4 linked regions of the Daphnia pulex genome follow. The protein of the gene in region 1 interacts with the protein of each later gene in a biochemical or structural test. Links are inferred from orthologs where the notes say so. Each region holds a gene or a part of one and is shown in the gene's direction. Other genes may lie near its edges.

Evidence for each region.
Region 2: the proteins of NEDD8-conjugating enzyme Ubc12 (region 1) and cullin-associated NEDD8-dissociated protein 1-like form a complex in vitro, tested with the Homo sapiens proteins (2 studies listed by BioGRID). The link is inferred for Daphnia pulex from reciprocal best matches to the Homo sapiens genes UBE2M and CAND1.
Region 3: the proteins of NEDD8-conjugating enzyme Ubc12 (region 1) and DCN1-like protein 3 form a complex in vitro, tested with the Homo sapiens proteins (4 studies listed by BioGRID and IntAct). The link is inferred for Daphnia pulex from reciprocal best matches to the Homo sapiens genes UBE2M and DCUN1D3.
Region 4: of the proteins of NEDD8-conjugating enzyme Ubc12 (region 1) and NEDD8-activating enzyme E1 regulatory subunit-like, one has a biochemical effect on the other in vitro, tested with the Homo sapiens proteins (4 studies listed by BioGRID, with this or other methods). The link is inferred for Daphnia pulex from reciprocal best matches to the Homo sapiens genes UBE2M and NAE1.

Annotation. Positions count from the first base shown.
Region 1 is NC_060024.1:11,930,938-11,936,103, reverse strand, and holds NEDD8-conjugating enzyme Ubc12, read left to right. Parts: upstream 1-2,660; 5' UTR 2,661-2,835; coding exon 2,836-2,938; intron 2,939-3,015; coding exon 3,016-3,110; intron 3,111-3,180; coding exon 3,181-3,387; intron 3,388-3,500; coding exon 3,501-3,614; intron 3,615-3,686; coding exon 3,687-3,713; 3' UTR 3,714-3,837; downstream 3,838-5,166. Other genes in the region: ran GTPase-activating protein 1-like, read right to left, coding at 26-156, 231-449, 508-600, 662-839, 909-1,090, 1,179-1,451, 1,516-1,650, 1,704-1,883 and 2 more; importin-7-like, read right to left, coding at 4,276-4,355, 4,430-4,645, 4,713-4,851, 4,922-5,166.
Region 2 is NC_060021.1:5,211,138-5,217,336, reverse strand, and holds the start of cullin-associated NEDD8-dissociated protein 1-like, read left to right. Parts: upstream 1-2,748; 5' UTR 2,749-2,916; coding exon 2,917-2,958; intron 2,959-3,075; coding exon 3,076-3,245; intron 3,246-3,313; coding exon 3,314-3,482; intron 3,483-3,557; coding exon 3,558-3,895; intron 3,896-3,972; coding exon 3,973-4,189; intron 4,190-4,254; coding exon 4,255-4,353; intron 4,354-4,416; coding exon 4,417-4,525; intron 4,526-4,592; coding exon 4,593-4,771; intron 4,772-4,828; coding exon 4,829-4,950; intron 4,951-5,015; coding exon 5,016-5,199; intron 5,200-5,262; coding exon 5,263-5,440; intron 5,441-5,499; coding exon 5,500-5,728; intron 5,729-5,805; coding exon 5,806-6,071; intron 6,072-6,162; coding exon 6,163-6,199. UniProt on the Homo sapiens protein: Key assembly factor of SCF (SKP1-CUL1-F-box protein) E3 ubiquitin ligase complexes that promotes the exchange of the substrate-recognition F-box subunit in SCF complexes, thereby playing a key role in the cellular repertoire of SCF complexes.
Region 3 is NC_060026.1:10,627,073-10,633,009, reverse strand, and holds DCN1-like protein 3, read left to right. Parts: upstream 1-2,601; 5' UTR 2,602-2,643; coding exon 2,644-2,743; intron 2,744-2,808; coding exon 2,809-2,979; intron 2,980-3,043; coding exon 3,044-3,330; intron 3,331-3,392; coding exon 3,393-3,664; intron 3,665-3,724; coding exon 3,725-3,887; 3' UTR 3,888-4,524; downstream 4,525-5,937. Other genes in the region: nucleolar complex protein 2 homolog, read right to left, coding at 1-127, 197-354, 412-518, 583-1,276, 1,887-2,055, 2,136-2,243, 2,317-2,340; uncharacterized protein LOC124205018, read left to right, coding at 4,935-4,960, 5,021-5,240, 5,309-5,937. UniProt on the Homo sapiens protein: Contributes to the neddylation of all cullins by transferring NEDD8 from N-terminally acetylated NEDD8-conjugating E2s enzyme to different cullin C-terminal domain-RBX complexes and may play a role in the cell cycle progression by regulating the SCF ubiquitin E3 ligase complex, after UV damage.
Region 4 is NC_060021.1:5,298,104-5,304,352, forward strand, and holds NEDD8-activating enzyme E1 regulatory subunit-like, read left to right. Parts: upstream 1-1,957; 5' UTR 1,958-2,043; coding exon 2,044-2,114; intron 2,115-2,186; coding exon 2,187-2,351; intron 2,352-2,415; coding exon 2,416-2,598; intron 2,599-2,660; coding exon 2,661-3,007; intron 3,008-3,069; coding exon 3,070-3,364; intron 3,365-3,441; coding exon 3,442-3,647; intron 3,648-3,711; coding exon 3,712-3,848; intron 3,849-3,922; coding exon 3,923-4,046; intron 4,047-4,207; coding exon 4,208-4,320; 3' UTR 4,321-4,450; downstream 4,451-6,249. UniProt on the Homo sapiens protein: Regulatory subunit of the dimeric UBA3-NAE1 E1 enzyme. E1 activates NEDD8 by first adenylating its C-terminal glycine residue with ATP, thereafter linking this residue to the side chain of the catalytic cysteine, yielding a NEDD8-UBA3 thioester and free AMP.

The DNA of each region.
Region 1 (5,166 bases):
ATTATTGACAAATAAATGTTGTTACTGTGTGAAGAAGGTTTGCAAAGATTGTAGAGTGCTGAGTGGAATGTTATTGGGATCAACGGTGAGGATGCGTTCCAGAATCAAAAAGAATCCGCTCAGAGGCCAGGTGGGTCGAAATTGTTTATCTTCACTCTAACAAAAGAAATGTTCAATAATAAGATAATTCTGTCATAAACATAGACAATTATGTGGCTGTCAATAACTACCTTTAGAATACCCATGTACACTAGCAGTGTGTTATCAAGAACAGACATCTTATCCATTGACTTGGCCTTTTCGAAAGCCGCTTTAAGAATCGCATCAACGGACTGTTGAACATTTTCGACTGAAGATATCTCCGATCTCAGATTGACGGTCGAGCTAACTTTCATGATGACCTCAGCGTAAACGGCAAATAATGCATCGGGCTTGGCAGCAATCAAACGCTAAAATACGGAAAATCTATCAAATGAGGTCACACAATTTTTTGTATTGCGAACCTACGTCGACATGTTGAAGAATCAATGAGCTTTTCTGGTCACCTAACCCATTGAAGCGAGCCAAAGTGGGTGCAGCAAGTAGTGCCTCCACTGTCGACTGTTAAGATAGTCGTAAAATAACATTCAATTACAAACGATTTAAGAAATCTTTTGAATACCGGAATGACTTCGTTTGCAGTTAGCTGAGCCAGATTAGCATTAAGTTGATGCAAAGTGTCATAAGCAGACACATGATCGAGAGATTTTTCTACTTCTTTCTCTTCTTTCTCTTCGTCGCCACTCTCTTCCTCTTGTTCACTTTCTTCTTCCTCGCTGCTTGGTTCACCTTCATCATCGCTTTTAGAAGAAAAAAAGAAGAAATGAGATCGCAAATTTTAAAGCATATTGGATTGATGGTTTTCATACCTTAAACTCAGCAAAACCTTTTCACCTAAGCCACTGAAGATATCCTTGAGCTCCTGACATCCTTCTTCACCGAACTGATTACCGTTTAGATCACATATTTTAAGCATTTTTTTGTTTTTTAAAGAATTAGCCAATAGCTTTGCTCCACTCAAATTGATTTCGCCATGATCCATATAGACTTCCTAAAGTACGATCCAATTAATACATAGATGTAGAATTACGAAACGCCATATTAAGGAATTTAAACATATTGACATCAACAAAAATTACCTTTAAATGCTCATGTCCGGATGACAATGCCTTGGCGAGGAACTCAGCCCCCTTGGTACGGATCAAACAGTCTCCAAAGTTTATAACCGACAATTGCTGCCATTTTGGAAGAGCTTCTGCAACAGCTTGTGATCCTCTCCAGGTGAACGTGTTATCATTAAAGTTAAGAATTTTCAGGCCAGGGTTATAAACAAGCGCACTGGCCAATGCGAGAATACCAGGATGTCTTATAAAATTTTGAGGCATCTGGACTTCTTCCAAGGTTCCAACTGCCTAAAAACAAATATGCTGTAATTAAAATAATTAAATAATTACTGAAAATAAAAAAAACAGTGACCTTGAAAAATTCTGACAGAGCAATCGCTCCTTCATTTTCAAGTCGATTTCTTCCAACAATGAAGGTTTTCAGACTCAATGGAGAACCAGCCTCTTTACTGGCTTTAAGACAGTCATTTAAAGCTTGGGCAAGCATCTAAAGTAAAAGGTAGCAGTATTATGATTACAAATAAATGGAATTTTAGTTACCCGTCCACCATAAATTCCAAGGCCATTGTTGTTTAATCTTATACATTTTAGAGAATAGCAGACAGGGCTTTTCAAAAACTGAACAAGACCTTCCATACCAACTGGACCTAATGCATTATCACTCAAATCTAACTCAATTAAGTTAGCTTTAGCCAAAATGAGTCCTCCTCCTAAGAAACTCTATTTAAATAAACGGTGGTTAATACTGTTAATCGTCACATGCACCACAATCAAATTACCAAAGCTTTTGGAATTTCATCTTTCAACCGGCCAGTAAAAGCATCTTTCCACAGTGCTCTCTGGAAGGTTGGTTTGGATTCTAATGCTTTGGCAATAGCCTTGGCGGCTTCAACACCAAGAGTGTTTCCTTCAAGGATGAGACCTGTCAAACCTTTTGCAGCCTGAATTGCATTAACAATAGGTTGGGCTGTTGAAAAATTCCAATAAAAAGAACTTTAATCCCATTTATAAAGCAAACATAAAATCAGAACAAACCGTCGGCTTCCGTATCTAACTTGAGTCCTTTCCCGCTAAAATCTACTATTTCTTCTTTCGCATTCAAATTATTGGCTTCAGAGTCTCCATTAAACTTAGTCACTGCCCCATTCATTTCTTCGAAGTTGTTGGATGATTTTTATCAGGTTCAACCAAGATGACACTCTAAAGTGTAAGTGTAGTATTATTTTCTATTGAGACAAAAATTCACGTGTCTAATTTGAACGCTAACAGTCGGTTTATCGACTCCCTCGTACCCTCGAATTCCCAAGCAGAAATTTCTCTTTGTGCAGCGTTTTCACATTTCAAAAATAGGGTAGGCCTATTGACTTTAGAAAAATGAATTGTTAATTACTATTCATAACTAAATTTACACCTAACAGTATTTAATATTATTTTTAATTTAAAAAAATCAGTTGTATCAATTGGATTTCTGGCAGCATAAAAAAATTTATATGGAATTGTTTTTGACGTTTCTCCAACAGTCTGCTGTTTAGTCCTCTCAATCAGCAAAAATTTCCCATCTGTTCTGTATTGGGCCAAATAAAATCTAGACTGGTTCCTCTGTAAATATAAGAAGGAAACCCCTGTTAAGTTTTCCCAAATTTGTAGATCTCGTATTTGTGGAGCCGACATCATGATTAAGCTTTTTTCTCTTAAACAACAAAAGAAAGATGAAGTTCCAGGTCGGGCAGGAAATCAAAAGAAAGCATCCGCTGCCCAGCTGCGTATCACCAAAGGTCTATTGACTAAAAACAAGTTCTGACCTTGTGACCCGTGTTCCATTTATTTTAATATTTGTTATAATGTCTCGTAGATATTAATGAGTTAAATCTACCCAAGACTTGTCAAATGGAATTTCCTGACCAAGATGACTTGCTGAACTTCAAATTAATCATTTCTCCAGATGAGGTATTACGTATTATGAAATGCAAAATATTTATTTGATTTATAAAACTTTTTTATAATTATTCTGTTACAGGGTTTTTACAGAGGAGGGAAATTTTCTTTTAGTTTCAAAGTTGGTCCTGGTTATCCTCATGAACCACCCAAAGTGAAGTGTGAGACACAGGTGTATCACCCGAACATTGACCTTGAAGGTAATGTGTGTCTTAACATTCTACGAGAAGACTGGAAGCCAGTATTAACAATCAACTCCATAATTTATGGTCTGCAGTACCTTTTCCTGGTGAGCTCTTTTTCTCAGTTCATTGAAATCCATCTTGTTATTAGTAGTCCTAAATTCCCTAGAATTGATGTATGTTGGTTATTTTATTTCACTGTTCTTGTGTGATTTTCAAGGAACCCAATCCAGAAGATCCATTGAATAAAGAAGCTGCAGAAGTACTTCAAACAAACCGGCGATTATTCGAAACAAACGTCCAAAAATCCATGCGAGGGGGATATGTTGGTTCGGTAAGCTAAATTACTTTGAAATCATATTTAAAAATAACACAATCTTGTTTTGAACCTAATTGGGGAAAACAGGTTTATTTCGAACGATGCTTGAAATAACATCCGAATCAGATACAACAAAAAACGAATGGCTCTTTTCAACTTTGATTTCAAACGATTTTTAACATGGAAATTTTCATGTGCAGAAAAAATAAACATCCGCGTGTTTTGCGTTCCATCATTAGTTTTTTATTAAGTTTCATCATTCAGCTGTAATTTTTTCTTGAATATCCATCACCGTTCTTTACTCGATATACGGAACGATACACGGTTCAAGCAGAAGGAGGAAGGGAATGGATGACTAGGCTTTGCTACTGATGAGAATAGAAAGTATCGAACTATTCAGTGTTCCTACTTCCTACAAAGAGCGCATTATCAGCAGTTAGATTAACCTTCCCAAGCAAAGCCTAAATGCACAACACAAAAATTCCCCTCCAAAAAAAAGGCAACCAAAAAAACAAAACAAATGGGCAATTTAACCTAATCAGACAGATTCAATAAGAAAACCAGGCATTGATGAAAAAAGGTCAAAGCACAGCTATCAATAAATGTGATAGTGACGGATGTTATCAAATAGAACCATATTGATAAGGAATTATACGATAACGTTAGTAAGAAACATTCATCTGCTAAATGGTGAAGTAGACCCATTTCCTCCGAAATTAAAAGAATCGGGAACCGTTTGTTGGTTGAAACTGTAGCCTGAAGAATTTAAAAAAAGAGAAAAAAAAAATTGTCTTATGATTATCATTAACACAAATCTAGGAAATTCTTACCTCCAGCCTCTTCAATCCGCTTACTTTCAGCGGCTGCGCGTCGTTGATCAGCAAGAACAATTACGTCGTTTAGGGCTTTTTGCTGATCACCTGTCAGAGCTCCAGTCAAAGCGTTGTACCAACCGGGATTAGTACCTTGAACTTCTTCTAGTACTTGCTTGAAAATGATATATTCATCTATTTCACAATTTTCAACGTCCAACGGAGTAGTGTAACCTAAAAGAAAATTTTTAAATATTTCAATACTGTTTCTTCTTAGCAAAATCAAACAAAATTTAAATACCCTCAAGGGCTGTTTCTTCTTCTTCGTCTTCATCATCGTCCTCGTCGTCACCATCTTCATCGTCCTCGTCGCCAGGGAGATCCTTGATGACAGTAGTGATAGGAAATGGAGACTGACCAGAGGCTTTCGAAATTTTTTCCTTTAAGTATTTAGAGTATTAATTAGTCACAAAATAAGCGCATGCTTCACTAGATTTTTTTTTTCAATACCTGCAGGCGCTCCAAGTAATCTTGTCCATCATGATCAATATCATCTTCGTCAGAGCTGAGCACTTCCTCACACTCTTCATCATCATCGTCTTCATCGTCGCCATTTTCCTCTTCTTCAGCTGCCTTGGCGGCGTAAGCGCGTTTCAGTCCGTCAAAGAGTAATAGCAGAGATGGCACAATTTGTTGTGCGCACTCTTCAACAAGGCCAGGATGAGATGGAGCAGCCGTGATGAGCGTGCACATTC
Region 2 (6,199 bases), on another chromosome or scaffold:
TTTTGTCCACTTGTTTTTTCGTCCCCTTCTCGTTCAGGTTTCCGTGTTTCGAAAGTCAACAGATTTTGATTGCGCAAAAAAAAAAGTTCAAATGAAAAAACAACAACACGCAGAACTGCTCTCCTATTATTTGAAACGAGCAAAATTTAAATGACAGTAGATTCGTTAGTTTTCCCAGTCTGCTGGGGATTCAGAAATCAGATAACGAGTTGTACACTGATTGCCAAAACGAGCTCAACCAAAGATTTCCACTTAACTAATATATTGTGTCGCTGGTCCCTTTTAAAATGTGTTTTTTAATAGAATTGAAAGTTGCACGAAAAAAAAGGCAACTATTATTTCTTGATTTATCAGTGAATGTTTCTCCCATTTCGCTTCGATGGTGGTAAAATTCGCCATCGTGGCCAGATTTCATCCTTGCAAACTTGTTGTGTAGCATACCTATCCTACAAAGCGATCCAACCTTCTAGCAAATTAAATTTGTGGGCTCTCCCCGCTGATGTATGTCTCTCTACTTGTAATAAATGAGATGAAAGAAATATGACGCTCGATCTCCACAATTTTCTCTGCTTGAGAGCAACAATAATGGCATCTTCTGCCGGTTGAAGTGAACCCAAGTGCCTTGTCCACAACGACTGATTCGATCGCAAGACCTACTTTTCCAAGTCGTCGGAGAGAGGGAGAGAGAGAGAGGGGGTAGCACGAGCCAAACGAGCCTGACGATTATGTCCTTGCTGTCGTTGTGAATAACAATCAATCAAATGAAATGTTGTCATTCTTTTCTCCAGCCCCTTGACTGGCTGATTGTGTAGCTTGATAGCTAAGAATGATACGAAAATGAGGAATGAAGGCTGCTCCGTCAAACCGTTCATCATCCCATTTTGAAACAGCGAGTCCGGTTGAGAATTTTCTAGAGGAGTTCACAATAAGATCAAAGCCGAAGAATTGACTGAGTGGTAGTTCAGCAGGTTCTGCCTTCGTTTCATGAGACAATCAAAACAAGTTTAAGAAGCTAGTGTGAACTGGAATAGGAGTGAAGTCATAAGGGAACTTCTTATTAAGTCAAAGATTGCTACATATTCCCATCCATAAAAGTAAATACTTCTTCAAAAACTGTGTACTGCCTTTATAAGTCGACGGAAAATATATGCTGTTATCTCAAATTTTACCCTATAAGTAAGAGGAATAAAACAAAAATCAGGTTGCTGGGTTCACAAGGAATTGATGGAGAGCGCGCGCGTGTGGGACTTGATCGGCAACTACAAATTAATTTATGGAAATGTTTCCTTGAAATAATTTGTTGAAGTCACGTAGGCCACATGCTGTGGTCTACGTGACGTTTCTTCTCCAGGTAAAACATGCCAAAAATAAGAGTAAACAATTTTGCAGCAACGAAAAAGGATTGAAAACTTGTTACTGTGGTAGAAGGGAACTTCAATCGACCAGTCGGTAGAAGTGATGGGACGGGATCAGGGACTAAAGAGATTTCGACAGTCGACGCAGGTGCTATTTTGCTCCGAATCCTTCAAAAAGACTTGCTTATTGCTACTGCACAGAATAGGGCAGGAAAGTAGAGAAATGTTTTTAAATTTTGTGGCCAGTTAAACCGTTTACTTTCACGATTTCGAAACTCACACACCTTTCGTTTTTTTTTCTTGTTCCTTCATTCACGGACCCGCATAGGAAAACACTAGCTAGCTGCCAAGAGATACCACGAAAATAACCGTTAATGGAATTGAATCTTTTCCTAATGAGTGAGCTGAGCCGAGAACACGCGATCTCCAGGCCTTTTGGGCAAGAGAGTATTAATTGAATTGAATCTCGATTTTTAGAAAAAGAAAAATGGAAACGGAAAAATTCAAATTTCCTAGATGCACCGTGCAATGAGGTTCACTTGAAATTTGGGGTGCTATCATGCAGCGCAGCTCAAAGTATAAAAGGACCGAAGGACTTGTAAGTTAACTAAACTTTGTGACTTGACTGTCCGAATAGTAAACCAACCAGCACCCTTTAGGGGTAATTTACCTTTTTCGGACGGTAGCAACACAAACTTATAAAGTAGAACACATTTGCATTTGCTATCCTCATTATAACCTGGTCATGTTGTAATAACATCACCACAACAACAAGAAACATCTATCATTCACTAGTACAAGGTTATCTCCATAGCCAAAAAATGAAATGTCATAATAACTAAATTTCTACGATAGGTGCTGATGAAGACTAGAAATTTTACAAAAGATTCCCGCTCTTCGATTAACTAAACCTTGGCCATGTGTCTCAATCGTGATATTGTTCTGATTTTTTAAACATCAGGATTTGATTTCTACCTAGGGCTTTCAAGTTTCAACAAGTTCTTTTCTTGGAGCTTTTAAATGGCTTAAAAAAGTTGCGATGCTCATATATACGAAAGAATATATTAGAATAGAAGCCCATATCGCGATCGGGCCATTGAAAACCTGTCCCTGCAGAAGGTATTTCATAATCGATATAACGCTCCAATGCACCAGAGAAAATAATAACAATTCCTATCAAATTCGGCGGCGGGCGGTTGAACGAGTCAGCGACCAAATAAATAAAAAAAAGGCTAGCCCTTCACTTAATTAAAGGAATTTCTAAAATCCGCAATTCACATGTAGAATCCTTACAAATCGTCATGTAAATTTTATAATAAAAAATGAATAGGCCTATCTCATCTCTCCATACCCCATGGCCTACCCTGGCTGGCCTACCTTTTCATTACGTCGGTTTACGTCTTCTCATCAGTGCAGACTGCAGAAGAAACCAGAAGAGGCTTCTCTTCCTTCTTTTCTCTTCAACCGGCGAGTCAGCACATAACAGATACACACTCGATTGAAAAAAAGAGACGTCGTAGTTTTTTTTTGCCTCTCACAATTCTGAATTCAAGGCTAAAGAATGTCGAACGTCTCGTACCATATCGCCAATCTTTTAGAAAAGGTCCAAATCTTAATGTCAATTATAACAAATCACTTGAAATGCTTGCTCTTCAGGAGGCAATGCATGCTCTCTACTGTATCCAAACAGTCAATGTAATGCAAAAAAATTCACTTACAGATGGCTTCCAGCGATAAGGATTTCCGATTCATGGCAACCAATGATTTGATGGGAGAGTTACAGAAAGATTCCATCAAGTTGGATGATGACTCTGAGCGAAAGGTTGTTAAGATGCTTCTTCGCTTGTTGGAGGACAAGAATGGCGAAGTTCAGAACCTGGCTGTCAGATGGTATGTATAGTTAAACCAGAAATGTACAGAAATTCACTCAGCACTTATAATTTTAATTGAATTCACAGTCTTGGACCTTTAGTCACAAAAGTGAAGGATGTTCAAGTGGAAACGATTGTTGAACATCTTTGCACAAATATGTCATCAGACAAGGAACAATTAAGAGATATCTCTTCAATTGGTTTAAAAACTGTTATTAGTGAACTCCCTTTGACTGCATCTGGAATGGCAGCATCTGTAAGTTCTACAGAATGGCATATTCACTTTCTTTTCTATTGATGTTTTAAATGCTTTGGTTTGTTACCCAACCAGGTTTGTAAAAGAATAACAGGTCGCTTGAACACGGCAATTGCCAAGCAAGAAGATGTGTCAGTACAACTAGAGGCCCTTGATATCTTGGCTGATTTGCTTACCAGATTTGGTAGTCTCCTGGTCTCCTTTCACGAAGCTATCCGCGAAGCATTATTACCCCAGCTAGCTTCGCCGCGTCTTGCAGTACGCAAACGTACAATCCAGGCTTTAGGCCACTTGGTTATGTCGTGCCATCATACTCTATACGTGAAGATTATGGAACACCTTCTTGATGGTCTGGCCAAGAACTCTACCACTTCAACAACCAGAACTTACATTCAAGCAGTTGGTGCTATATGGTATCCAAACACTTGATCAGTTGACAACTTAATTGTTGCATCATAAATGCTAAATGTTTTCCTCTAATAAAAACTAGTCGTCAAGCCGGTCATCGCTTTGGTGAGAACGTGGAGAGAGTGGTGCCGTCTCTAATTCAGTTCATTAACGTAGATGATGATGAACTCCGAGAGTTCTGTCTTCAGGCTTTTGAGGCACTCGTTCACAAATGCTCCAAAGAGATGACACCTCACATTGGTACTCTCACTGGTATCTGCCTGGAACTATTAGCCTATGATCCAAACTACAATTACGAAGTACGAAACATCAGCTAACATTTATTTGAATTATCAAACTTACAGAGTGATGATTTTTGTTGTAGGAAGAAAACGGCGAAGATGACGAAGGAGATATGGAAACTGAAGAAGAAGATGAAGAAAATGAGGAAGAGTATTCGGATGATGACGACATGTCCTGGAAAGTGAGTAAACGATTTCATCATCGGAAAAAAAAGGAAAACATTTATTTTATTTCTTCCCCTCAGGTACGACGATGTGCTGCAAAATGCTTAGAGGCGATTATCAGCACCCGCCCAGATTTGCTAATAGATTTTTACCGTACCATTTCTCCTGTGTTGATCGGTAGATTTAAAGGTTCGTAAAATTCAGTTGTTCTGATCAAAATTGGAACAATTAATCAAAACATTTCTGGCATTTTCAGAGCGCGAAGAAAACGTAAAAGCTGATATCTTCCATGCATTCATTGCTCTTTTGAAACAGACCAAGCCATCTGGATCTGTTCGCGACGATGGTACTGGCTTCGGCGCTAATCAAGAGATTTACAGCGTGTTGATGCAACAAGTCCCTCTCATTATTAAAGCCACCAGTAAACAAATGAAGGTAACGAAAGGTTCCCTTTAGTTCTTGGAATGGTAAATACTTACACTTTTAATACAGGACAAAAGCCTAAAAACTCGACAAGGTGTGCTTGCCCTTTTGACCGAGCTAGTCTTGGTTATTCCCGGGTGTTTGAGCCCTCATTTCAGTCAGTTGGTCCCAGGAATCCTCTTCTGTCTCAAGTATTTTTTTTTCCCGCTGGCATCGTCGTAACACACCGACCAACTAACTCTTTGATATATTACAGTGAAAGGAATGCGAGCTCTCCGATGAAAATAGATACTTTGCAATTTGTACACACGGTACTAATTCACCATCCGCCCGAAGTGGCTCACGAGCATATTGCAGCATTGTTGCCTTCTTTGTTGAGTGCTGTATCCGATCCGTTTTACAAGATCACATCCGAAGCTCTTTTGGTTCTCCAGCAGTTGGTAAATGTTTTTGACTGAAATATTTATTTGGAATTCACTTTAAATGCTTCTATTTTTATAAAGGTGCGAGTGATGCGTCCATTGGATTCAGCCACCACATTTGACTTTACACCATACACAGTCTCCATTTATGATAGCGTACTAGTCCGGCTAAAAGCTGCTGATTTGGACCAGGAAGTCAAAGAGCGCGCCATTTCATGCATGGGTTTCATAGTTTCTCATCTGGGAGATCACCTTGCTGGTAAGAAATTAAAAATGATAAATTCTGCATACTTTTGAATTCACAACTTCTTTGCTCAGATCAACTAATGGTATGCCTCCCCATCTTTTTGGATCGTCTTCGAAACGAGATTACCCGGTTAACGACAGTCAAAGCTTTAACAAAAATTGCTTCGTCTCCGTTACACATCAATATAAGCCCATTGTTGCCCGAAGCACTTCCAATTCTTGCGGGATTTTTGCGTAAGAACCAGCGGGCACTTAAACTAACTACCCTTGCTTTGCTCGATCGTATCGTCAACAACTACAGGTAATAACTTACTTAAAAGTTTTATGTTTTTCCTCTTGGTTCCCTTTAAGACTTCTCTTTCTTTGTTTTTTTTTTAGCGCTGCGCTAACACCGGAACTACTGCATGCGGTTTTAACCGAAATACCGCCTCTGCTGTCGGAATCTGATTTGCACATCGCGCAGCTAACCCTTCATTTGCTCACTTCTGTTGCGCGGAATCAGCGTTCGGCGTTTCAAACCGGTGGAGTTAATGGAGGCATTTTGTCCGAAGTCTTCAATCTCTTGCGCTCACCTTTGCTTCAAGGTGTGGCTCTGGGATCCCTTCTCGATTTCCTACAGGCTTTGGTCGAGTTTAATGCTCCGGGTTAGTGATTTTTTTTCTCTTAATTTCAACTGTATTACTTAGAAGACAACTTATTAACAATATTAACTGTTCACTTTTACTTTCCATTCAGGATCTGGTCTTGGCTACCGCGATTTGTTGATGTGTCT
Region 3 (5,937 bases), on another chromosome or scaffold:
AAACTGTAACCAAGCGTTTGCATAGTACACGCGATAACTTTATAAAGGCTGTGTAAAACGGTATCAATTGATGTATATGCTTAAGGATAACCGACAAAAGAGAAGATTCTGTCAGAGATCCCAGTAACTGTTATAGAAAAAACAAACGGGTTAGTTGACCGGATTAGTTCTTTCATCATCGTTTTCTTCCCCTTACCCGTATGATATCAGCTAAATAAGATTTCACATGTAATCTGAGTTTGGTCCAACTTTTGCATTTTTCTAAGTTCAGCTTTTCATCAGCGGGTGACTTCAAAATTCTTTTCAAAGCTGGGATCAGATCAACAATGCACAAACGGACAACTGCGTTGAAGGCTATTAAAGGAAATAAATGGTGAGAGATAGTTAACTTCACAATTAATAACAAATTACCAGCACTCCCTTGAACAACAAATCTGGTTGCTCCTTCTTTCTCTTCAGTGACAGAGTGTACAGCGCTTCGGAAAGCGCTCACAACGTCAACAATTGTTTTTATAGATCTAAAAGAGAATGAAATGAATAAGTATCACTTTTAATAAATATCTAATATAAAATGGAAATTACTTGGGATCTTGAAGTTCTTGCTGCCATTTATCAACCATACTCTGTGTAATGACATTTTTTTGTCTTTTGGCAGCACTTTCTTTGTCTTCAAAATCAGACTCATCACTGCCAAGTTCTAATTCTTCGGGTTTAGGCAGTTCATGGAGCTGCCCTCCTCTTTCATCATCTTCACTGTCGCTAGAGCCAAACTCAAGCAATTCACGATCATTTTCAGACAGAAACTGATAAAATTCTGGATCAGTATTTTTTAGTTTGTCCAGTGTTTTCTTGTGTTTCTTCACAGCTGTATTGTCATCTGATTCATCACCACTTTCATCTTCCGAATCTTCATCAGCTTCATCCATTTCTTCATCGTCTTCATCTGCTTCATCCATATCTTCATCTTCTTCGTCAATTTCATCATCTTCATCATCTTCTTCATCTTCCTCATCTACTTCACTTTCAATTTCTTCTCCAGCTTCTACATCTGATTTTGTGGAGTCTTCGTCAATGCTTGAAGTGTTGTCTTCACTTTCTGATGAGTTAATAAACTCGTCGAGGCTCAATTTCGCCCATTTCTGATCTTTAACAACGGCGACATTGTTACCATTTAATTTTTTTGTTTGGCTTTGGATTGGTTTCTTGATAGGTCCACCTTTAGGTTTCCCAACAAATTTGCTATTGGTTTTAGATTGTTTCTTCATGTTGAGCACACAAACGATTGTCAAAATGAAAATGTAAAAGTAACACCGCTTTTAACTTACGCTAACGATGGACAACACGTGTCGCAGCCGTGTCTAAGAGCAGACGACTTAAAATGCTAGACTGTCATTTGTTTTTTTGGAAGAAAACAGTTTCGGGCAATTTCATTGGTTTACTGAAAAGCCGTCTGGATTGGACTAAAAAGTTTCAAATTTTTCCGTGTAAATCAAATATAGGTCTAAATTCTTAATTGTTTTGTTATTATAAATTTTTAATTCTAGACGTTTTAAACTATGAACAGTCGTTGTTCTATTTATCTTTTAAAATCTCATTCCATATTTAACTCTAACATTCCTTTTCTAAAAAAAAAGTAGTATCATATCATCATATTATCATAGTTTTAACCCAATTATTGTATGAAGTTTTTAACACAATTAACATATTTTATTTATGCAAGGCATATGTCATTAAAGAGCCTAAATGCATCATAACTGTAAACACAGTTAGGGAATTCTTAAATGATAGTGACACATGTGGTCTAATTAGATAATCAGAAAGCAATGTATTCAGCCTTTGACATTTCAAAACAATGAAAGAATTTGAGTTAATTTGTCAAACTGAACCCCTCATTGGAGGGGAGACCAGAATCACACCATCTCCACGTACAAAGAGCATGGGAATGTTGCGTTTAGTTGTTCTGTAAACTTCTTCATAAGTTTCTTCATCAATTTCAACAGTGGTTACTGTTTCTTCTACCTCACCTAGCACCATGTTCAAATGTTGATCATATGCCTATGGACCATAAACAATAATACAATATATTTTGGGAACACAATTTTATAGCAAAAAGCAATTTAATGTGCTCGACTTACATGTAGCCGGCCTCTCAACTCTCGTTCATTTCGCATTTTGACGTAAATTCTTTCATCGAGACTTAGGCGAATCAAATCAAGTGGCTCTTCCACAGTAATTACAGGGGCCTAAATGAAAGTGGCAATATGAAAGCTTGAATTATTAATTTAAAATTTAAAAAATGTGGAGTTGTATACATACTGAAGTTTCGTTTTCGTCCGCCATTTTGAATCTAGTGTAAAGTGTATTTTTCGGACGCAAGGAGGCTTTGTGATGCCTGTGTGCTTCGGACTAAACGTCACCCCCTCCCCCCACAAGTGTTTTGTGTGCCAGGGTTTTCCTTTCATTTTCTACATGATTCTCCTTTATATATTGGGTAGCTTTATATCTTACGAGATTTTCACGTAAAACGAGATCAGGGCTCAATGGTGATGTGCTAGTTACGATTTAAAAAGAAAAAGTGAATCGAAGGGAAGGGATTGAAGTTGTGAGGCTATAGCGCGCGATTCGGGTTTGTGAAATCCATCCATGGGGAATTGCTGCTCCTGTGTTAAAAGTGAGGCGAATACCAGATCATCCGTTGCTCCTGGAAATTATTCTCTTTCATCAAGTAAACTAGAAGACTCTGGTTAGTTGAAAATTTAATTTATAATGTACCTTTGTGTAACCCAATCCTTTTTCATGGTCACACAGATACATACCGTCCTTCACAATCGGAAGAGCTAGAGGACTCTAACCTGGTCATCAGCTCTGAAACATATGTGAATGGAAGTGGGTTGGACGCTAGAGACTCTAAAGGGGAGATGCGTAGGCCCTTTTATGTGCTCATTCCACCACTGGTTGGAAGAGGGAGTAATAGCTCAGGTGAATAAACATTTCTTTGTTATGAAGCCACCCATACACTTACTAAATTTTACATCTCAAACAGGTGATATTAAGAAGACAAACAACAATACCATCAATGGTGCATTAAGCACTGGTGGAATGGGGAATGGAACTAGTGCAGTGGAAGTGTCAGAAAACAATTTAGTGGCCTTCTATGAAAGCTACTGTGGAAATACTGAAGACAGGATTGAAGATGCCATAACCACTGATGGAATACTTCATCTGTGTGCTGATTTGGATTTAGCGGCTGACGACTTTCGTATTCTTTTATTTGCATGGAAGTGCGATGCAGCTCAAATGGGCAAGCTCAGCAAGAATGAATTCTTACAAGTAACAACACTAACAAATAATTTATTTAAAAAATTGAAATTAATGTGTAATCATTTATCCAGGGATGTCGACTATTAGGAACAGATTCGCCTCGTAGTCTCAAGTTCAGCTTAGAACAATTAGTAAAAGAAGTAGAGGACAGCGAAGTTTTCAGTGACGTTTACCGCTATGCGTTTCGCTTCGCTCTGGATGTAGAGTGTGGTCAACGCTCTTTGCCTGTTGATGTAGCCGTTTCACTTTGGCGGCTTGTATTTACTCATCGACCCGTCCCTCTCCTTGATCGTTGGATCGAATTTCTTGAACAGTCTCCTCCACCTGTTCGAGCTATACCCAGGTACAAATCACCAACAGTTGGGCATTTCAATGCAATTTAAATTTAAATTCTCTTCTTCAGGGATACATGGTGCATGTTTCTACACTTAGTGGACGCTGTGGGAAATGATCTTTCCCGCTACGACGACACAGAAGCTTGGCCTAGCCTTTTTGACGATTTCGTTGAATGGGCCAATGATCGAGCCAACCAAAATGTGCTGCACGCCAAGGAAGAACTACACTGATGGTGATCAACCCTCAGCTTCTTCCCGTATTCGTTTCGCTTTGCTGTATTAAGTTTTTCTCTCTTCTCACCTTGAATCGTTTCAGATGAGTGTATTAACTATGTGGTTTTTTAAGACATGATAATTGCTGATGGATGAGTGAGTTATTGAATTCGTATTTGTATCGGTTAGTTTACTTTGAATCTTCGTCCACCTTGACTCTCATTTATACTATGAAAACAATATCTGCTGTGATTCCTTGACGACTTTCGCCGTACAGAGTACTGACCTGCCAATGTCCCTCTTTTTTAAACGGCCCCTCTTGTTCACGTCTTTGAAATATCGTGTCTTTCTCAAACCACCTTTATTTTCTCCAATTGTTTATACTGTAGTTTGAGAAGAACTGTCTTTGATTGGTAACAATTTGATTGACCATGATTGCCACTCTAAAGAGTAGGTATATATTGGTATTTCTGTATACCCACCCTTTTTTCCCGAATGTAACGTACCGTAAGCCTGTTTGTGTGTTTATGTAAAATCGGTATTTTTCCTGTGACTGTTGATTGCTTTCTACTTGTTTATGTGCTATTCTTAGACCACTGTGGATGAAGACATCAATACAGATGTGAATGTAAGCCTTTGGCTTATACAGATGAAATTGTTTGTTCTTAGTTTGAAAACTTTGTAGTTAGTGAAGTGGCATCCTTATATAAATCCTCAACCAACCCAACATACATATATATTTAGTTTATAATTATTTTTATGTTGTTGTTTGTTAAAAAAAAGGAAACCGCAAACCAGCCGCAAACTAGAACTCAATAAACCAGATTTTAGAAAATTATAACCCTGTTCAGGCAGGCCTGTATCCCATGCCCATCCTCCGTTTCCCGTTTATTCTCCCTCCGACCCTCCCCCTTCTGAATCTGACCGCCAGGCGGCTCCTAAGTGATAGCAGACTACACTTGAAGACTAACCGAAAGAGAGAGAGTGATTTTCGCCGCTATTTCAAACAAGGCGTAATCTTTGTTTGGAATTTGATTGAAGGTCTTACTTTTCAATGTGCTTAAAATGGAAGTTGCAAAGCCAAATACCAGGTACTACTTGATAACTCATGGAATAAATGTATGCTGACTTATTTTTATATCTCTTTGAAGAACTCGGAAAGTGATAAATTATGCAGCCATGAATGGCGATAGATCATCAGATGATAGTGACAACGATTTCGTTGTCAACACTAAGGTTTCAAAACCCTCTGCCACTGCATCGAAACCTTCAAAACTGAGTAAATTGAAGCTAGGTTCAAGAAAGGAAACTAAGTTGTCTAATAAATCGAAATTCACAGAACTAAAACCCATTTCAGATCAATCAACAAAGGTTTGAATTTAAAATATTATCATTTTTTTACTTAGTATCTTATGCTTTGCATGCATTTTTTTTTCAAGGCAATTCAGCCTCCCATAATTGCTGGATCAAAGATTGTGGAAGAGATTGATTTTTCCATAGCAGAACCTGATTTGATAATTCACAGCATTTCGTCACAAGATACAGTTATCGCATCCACGTGTGAATGTCTTTCTCCTCATGAACTGAGTGACTCTTCAGACTCTGAAATCTGTGGAACCACTTTTGAGCTATCTGCTACAGTGAAAAACATGTGCCAAAAACATGAGTCAAAAAAGAAGATAGTTAGTGAGGATGAGGATTTCAAACCCCTTAAAACAAATGAAGAAAGAATAACCAAACGAAGGATCATCAGTGAAAGTGATACAGCAAAAAATAAGAAGATCAAAATTGAAAGTAAAGAAGATGAAAAGTTGAATACCCGTGGTAGTGTTGAATCCATTACAAAACTTTCAGTAGATGATAGTGAAGATACTTCACTTCCACTGCTACCTAGACTATCCCCCTGCACAAAAATGGTGGAAAGGTCATTACCTGAACAACTTATCCAAAATTGCCAGAACTTAGTTCTAGTTGCTTCAATCAATGAAGACAGTGAATTACCAGTTGCCCTAGAGAATAACATTCACACATCTGTAAAAGAAAAAATCAAAGTATCAAAAGACGACCA
Region 4 (6,249 bases), on another chromosome or scaffold:
AGTTTTCTCCCTTTGCTGTTCCAGTTTGTTCAACCGGGTGTACATAGTTGATTCCCTTAATTCCACAGTCGATTCCTCCATGGTTTTTAATCCCATTTTTCGATCTCTGAACGCAAAGTCATCGTGAATCAACCAGAAGAGTACCACAATGCAGTTTCTTAGCAGAGAACAACACCAGCCATCAAAGACTTTCTGAATCTAAATCTTCTAAATGATTGTCCTGAATTTTAAATAACTAGTCGTAAAATGTTAATTATGGGGGAAAAAATGGAATATCTATTTAGGCCTATACACATACACAGTGTGTTCTATTTTCTGATCGATGAAGATTCAAGGTTCACCGTACTCGGTTTCTAATCCTCTTTTGTTGAACCCGATTGTTTGTGTACACATCCGCTTGATTTATTCCTCAACCGTGCGTATGTATTTAGAGGGACCAGGAAGCTCGTTCCGATTTCCCCCAAATCGGTTCTCTCAGTATCTCTCTCTCTCTCTCTCTCGGTACTCTATTATATACTCTTATACACTTCGATCTCATTATTGTATAATCTAGTCCTGTTTAGTCACGTCGAAATCTTATTTAACCGTTCTTGTCTCTAACCAATTGAACAGTTTCAGTTGTTCCCTTGCCTCCCCGCCGCCCACTTTTCTGCGTGTCTAGTCATATTTTTGTAGTAGACTATATCGGTAATGCTGTTTTCATCATCTTTCACCACCCCGTTTGATTTCGTTCGGTTTACAAACTCTCGTTTTTCTCATTAATTATTATGTAATCAAGGCGATTTATTATATTACACACAAGACAAGATCAAAACAATTTGAAAATAGTTTGTTTTCCACGTCCATTCGTCGCACACGGAAATGTGGAAGAAAAAGAGGCGTGACATCACTCCGCCCATTTGACGTCTTGGTTTTGATGGCCCCATGAAACCCGCAAGAATCTCGGGACGGTCGATTATGCACCGGCCGAAAGGGGGGACAGTGGCCGAAGGAGGATCGAATGAAATCGGAGCTGTTACTTTATCCCAGGCCTGTCGTTCTGGACTGTCGGCGGTAACATGATCTGACTCGGTCCATGTCACATATAAACAGTTGTAAAGTTGATGTCCCGTGCAAAGGAACACAAGTCGTTGACGAGAAGTTAACAGTGAGGACTCCCTCAAAGGCACCAGATCTTTATTTTGGGCATTTTTTTTCTTTCTATCTTCCCCTTTTAGATTCATGGCGATTCGGGTTGTTCGTTCCTTCTCGTTGAATTTATATACTACACCGCCCCGCCCTCGTGATCGTCTTCTTCCTCCCCCTTTTGACATCAAAGTCTCTTGTACACCATAGAGGCAGGCACACTCCCCCTCTTCTTTCTCCGCGTGACCCTACCCCGCCTCCCTCTACTCTTCTATCTTTTTTTCTTTCTATTTACAGTCGACTGCCACCGAACGTTAACATATGCCTGCAACTTAATGGCCTGTTAACATTGTGACTGTAGTCATAGGCGTTACACCGCCCTCCATGATGGGCTCAATCTTTTCTAGCTCTTTTTTTTTCCATTGCTATTACGTCTATAAAGAAAATTGTGGAACTTATTTTTAAAATGAAGGGGAAAATGTACCAGTTGGCACCCCGTTTGCGTGTGCCATCGATTGTTCTCGGCTAAAGGCTTCTTTTGCACTTGCAGCGATTTTGGGAAAAAGTACACTCAATACAGAACAAGAATAAGGGATTTTCTGGTGATGTAGCTACGTCTGGGCGCAAGACGTTCAATAATAAAGGCTTGTTGGCTTCTTTCTAAGGAACTCGATCGATACTCTTCAATTGATTAGACCTTTCGGGGGGCTTTACTCTTCTTTTCTTCCACATTTTGAAAGCTTCAGATTTTCCCTCTACTTCATGTTCTATCGATTGTCCAAAAGATGGCGTTACTTTACGGTCGATGTGTAGTGAAGCTAGATGAATGATAGATGGCGTAGCAGTAGCATCAACAAATCTAAAAAGTTTCTTTCGTTTGAGTGAACGAAAAGCCACTCTCGGAAGTTGTACAAAAGCATGGCATCTCCTTCACCAAAATCACCGGGTCAGCTCTCGGATAAAAGCAAAAAATATGATCGCCAGTTGAGGTAAAATACATTATTTAAATTTTTTGAAAACAAAATTTTTTCCTGATTTTTTTTTTTACAAAATTTTCATAGGCTTTGGGGAGATCATGGGCAGGCTGCATTGGAGAGTGCCAGTGTCTGTCTTATTAACGCAACTGCAACGGGAACAGAAATTTTGAAGTCTCTAGTCTTGCCTGGAATCGGTTCTTTCACTATTGTCGACGGTGCGTTGGTTTCTGGGGAGGATGCTGGGAATAAGTAAAAAATTGAATTACAGATATCTCATGTCTGTTGGCAGTAATGTCTTTTTTGTTTCACCCAGTTTCTTCCTTGATCACAACAGAATCGGGAAGCCTCGGGCACATGTGGCAACCCAGTTGCTGATGGAACTAAATGCAGATGTGAAAGGGGACTACATAGAAGAAACATGTGATCAACTTTTGTCAAATAATCCAGATTTTTTTTGTACATTCTCAGTTGTCATAGCCACTGGCCTTACTGAAAAGTAAGTGAATCATGTAATCAGGTTTATGACAAAGCTAAAAGTTTCTTTCTCATGTTTTACAGGTCATTGCATTCTCTGTCAACCAATTTGTGGCAGAACAATGTCCCCCTGGTAGTTTGTGTATCCTATGGATTTATTGGATCTATCCGGCTTCAAGTCAGTGAACATTGCATCATCGAATCACATCCAGATAACTTGCTGGAGGACCTCCGGCTTGATAAACCATTTGATGGATTGAAAGAGTTCATGGAGACCATCAAGCTAGCTGAAATGGATCACAAGCAGTTCAGTCATACACCATATTTAATGCTGTTGTACAAAGCCTTAGAAATATGGAAGGAAAAGCACAATAGTAATATGCCATCCAATTACAAAGAAAAACAAATCCTCAAGGATATCATAAGCAAAGGTTTGATGACTTTTTTGTTTTGTTTCTAAATTGTTCATTAGTTAAATACTAGTCCAATACAGAATTAGGATGCGGTATCGTCAAAGAAGAGGACTCTAACACTGGCGGCGAGGAAAACGTCGCCGAGGCCATTAAAGCGGTTAACACAGCTCTAAATAAGACCCAAATTCCATCCAGTGTACAAAAGATCCTGAATGACGACCAGTGCATTCATCTAAAAGAGAAAAACCCCTTCTGGATTGTGGCACGTGGAGTTAAAGAATTTGTGGAAAAGGAAGGAAACGGAGCACTACCCCTGCGTGGCTCTCTCCCCGACATGACTTCCGATTCTCAACGCTACATCGCTCTCCAGAATGTGTAAGTAGTCAGTTTACAATCAAGATGGAAAATAACTGCTCATGACGTTGGCACTTGGCACTTTACAATGCCCATAGATATCGTGAGCAAGCAGCTAAAGATGCCGAACACGTGTGGCGCCACGTACAACTCATACTGAAGGAGCGAGGCTGGTCTAGTGAATCGGTGATGGAAAATGACGTCAAGTTGTTTTGTAAGCATTCGTCTGAACTACGAATGATACGAGGCACTTCACTGGCGGCCGAATTGGATGGCAAGCAACTCCCGGGAGATGTCGACATCAGTAAGTGATATATCGGATTCCCTTCCTGAATTAAAGAAAAAACTACTTGTTGTCTAACTTCCAGATCAGCAGTTGGAAGAACCAGATAGCCCCTGGCTGCACTACCTTCTTTTAAGAGCTGTTAATAAATTCCACACGGAAAATGGATCACATCCCGGTTACTATGACGACAATGTTGAGACCGATATAGCTAAATTGAAGGTAAAGAAACATGTGATGGACTCGATGACAATAGACAATATTGATCCTAATTTGAAAATCTGTCGCAATGACAGGGTTGCTTCTCTCGTCTTCTTAACGATCTTGGTTGCCAAGGCGGTAGTCTTTCAAAGGATGACAATCTTCACGAGATGTGTCGCTACGGTGCAGCCGAGTTGCACGCCGTTGCAGCATTTATTGGTGAGCAATCCTCCATTCCAATTTCTGTCCATGCGAACAATCGCATTATTTGATGCCCCAGGGGTTTCATGTTTCTGTAACGATAAAAATGTGCTTCACTCGTGTTTTGATTTGGTTTGTTGCATCATTTGCTTTAATAATTTGTTCCTCCGTAAATACAGGTGGATGTGCCGCCCAAGAAGTTATCAAACTCATCACCAAGCAGTACGTCCCGTTGGATAACACTTTTATTTTCAACTCGGTTACGACTACCACGGCAACGCTGCGCTTATAAATATCCAAAAACAGAAAAACCCTTTCCTTCCTCCCACAGAAAAACCGAAATAAAGAAACAAGAAAAGAAAATGTACGATTTTTTCGCTCTCCTCTACAAATTATCAATAAATGGATGTATGATTCTTCAATAACCGAACTTCAATAACCGCCTCTTGCTATTCGTTAGAGAAAAAAGCCCTGTGGTAACGTTGGGGAGGATCGTTAGAGACAGCCGGCCATCCATCCTTCTTCCATCCATCCATCGCCGCCGGGTGGTGCGATGCAATCCTTTTAAGTCAGTCGACGAGCGGAAGACAAGAGAATCCATATTCTGCAATCCTTTCGACCTGATAAACGAGCGGCCGATTCAGTCATTAAGAGATCGAAAAGAGAAAAAAAAAGGGTCGTCGTCGCGAAGATGAAGAAGGAGAAAAAAGAATAAAACGAAGACGCGTGTAGATCAACCCCTGCGTGGGATCCTGTGCGCTGGCGCAAGCGCCGAGCCAACAGTTGGGAGCATCCAACAAACACGCACGTACATACACACCACAGATGAGAACGGCACGAACGGAGTATTACTCAGGTCACTTTGAGCCATTGCCCGGTTATTTAGTGAGCGCTGCCAAAAGAGAAAGAACCAGATCGAGTTGACGACATTCATCCGTGCGGATCGAGCATTAGGTTCACGCTCGACAGCCGAAGAGATCAACTGGTGACGACGTCTAACACATTCAATTCAATTGCTGATTCTTGGAGTGTTTTCAGTGAGCTGCTGAGCCCCATATCAAGATTCGCAACGGACCACTGCGTTGGTTTTCATCTTTTACCGTTGTCTTTTCCTGCCAGACGAACAACAGTTGCGTGGTAAGTTGTCCAGATTTAAGGTTCCATCCTAATTAATTTTGTGAAGAGTCGAAATAATTTTAGAATGTGATGGATTGGTATCATGTTCCGTATCAACTGGATCAACAGATGTAGGCTATTGTTTTTCAATCCTCATCTAGCTTCCTCTTCCGACATTAGGGCCTTTCTAATTGAAAACAAGTCGGTTTGGCTTTACTTTACTCGAAAACATGCGTGGGAGTCTTAAAGAGGATTAGGAAATAAGATTTCCAACGTTGGTTGACAAGTCAGTATCCGGCATTCTTGGTTCGTTAAGAATTCTGCCCGTTGATGAGGCCAATTGTGGAACCGACTGAATAGAGGCAAATTGAAAGGCTTGAACGAAACGAGTTAAATTGATTCGAGCAAAGATCCTTGCAAAACAGTCCACAACCTCCACATTTAGCGATTGCTGGCTCTTAAGTATGCGGATCCGGAGGAGGGGGAAGATTTCACTTTGAATAAGCGTGCCCTGTTGTTAAAAACTGTTAGTTAATGTGGACGAGATGCTTTTGAAAGTTTTAAGACGGTAGTTTATTACCTCTTCAAACTGGAATCGGTCAATGGCTTGCAATCCATCCGCTTTTGCATTCATCCAACCAGTGTTTTGCTACTATGGCGACTAAACCTCATTTCTCTTTGATATCTGAGCATTCAAAAACAAGTCAACCAAATAAAGTAGGCCAATTAAGCTGAAAGATTTGCCATTCAATAGTATATTACCCCTTGGTTGTTTTTTAACCATATTCAAACAGCAGGGAGTATTTTTAAACTTGCGAGTTCTTTTTTTTATCGATCTAGGAATGATTTTGAAAGGGAAGTAAAATAAAACATAAAGTAAATGTGAATGCCCTAGATGAACTGTATTTGCCTTAATTGCTCTGTTTGCGTTCATTTGTTATTCACAACATTTGAGTTGGTTCCCGCTACCGTTCTAGGGACTAAAATGGTCAGTAATAAAGTAATTAGACGAGAGAAGTGATTGGACTACCGTGTCTCAAAACAACAAGAGTTTATAAAGCTCCTTTTTTTGTTACGCTTGTTGTTTCCCCTATACACAGCCGAG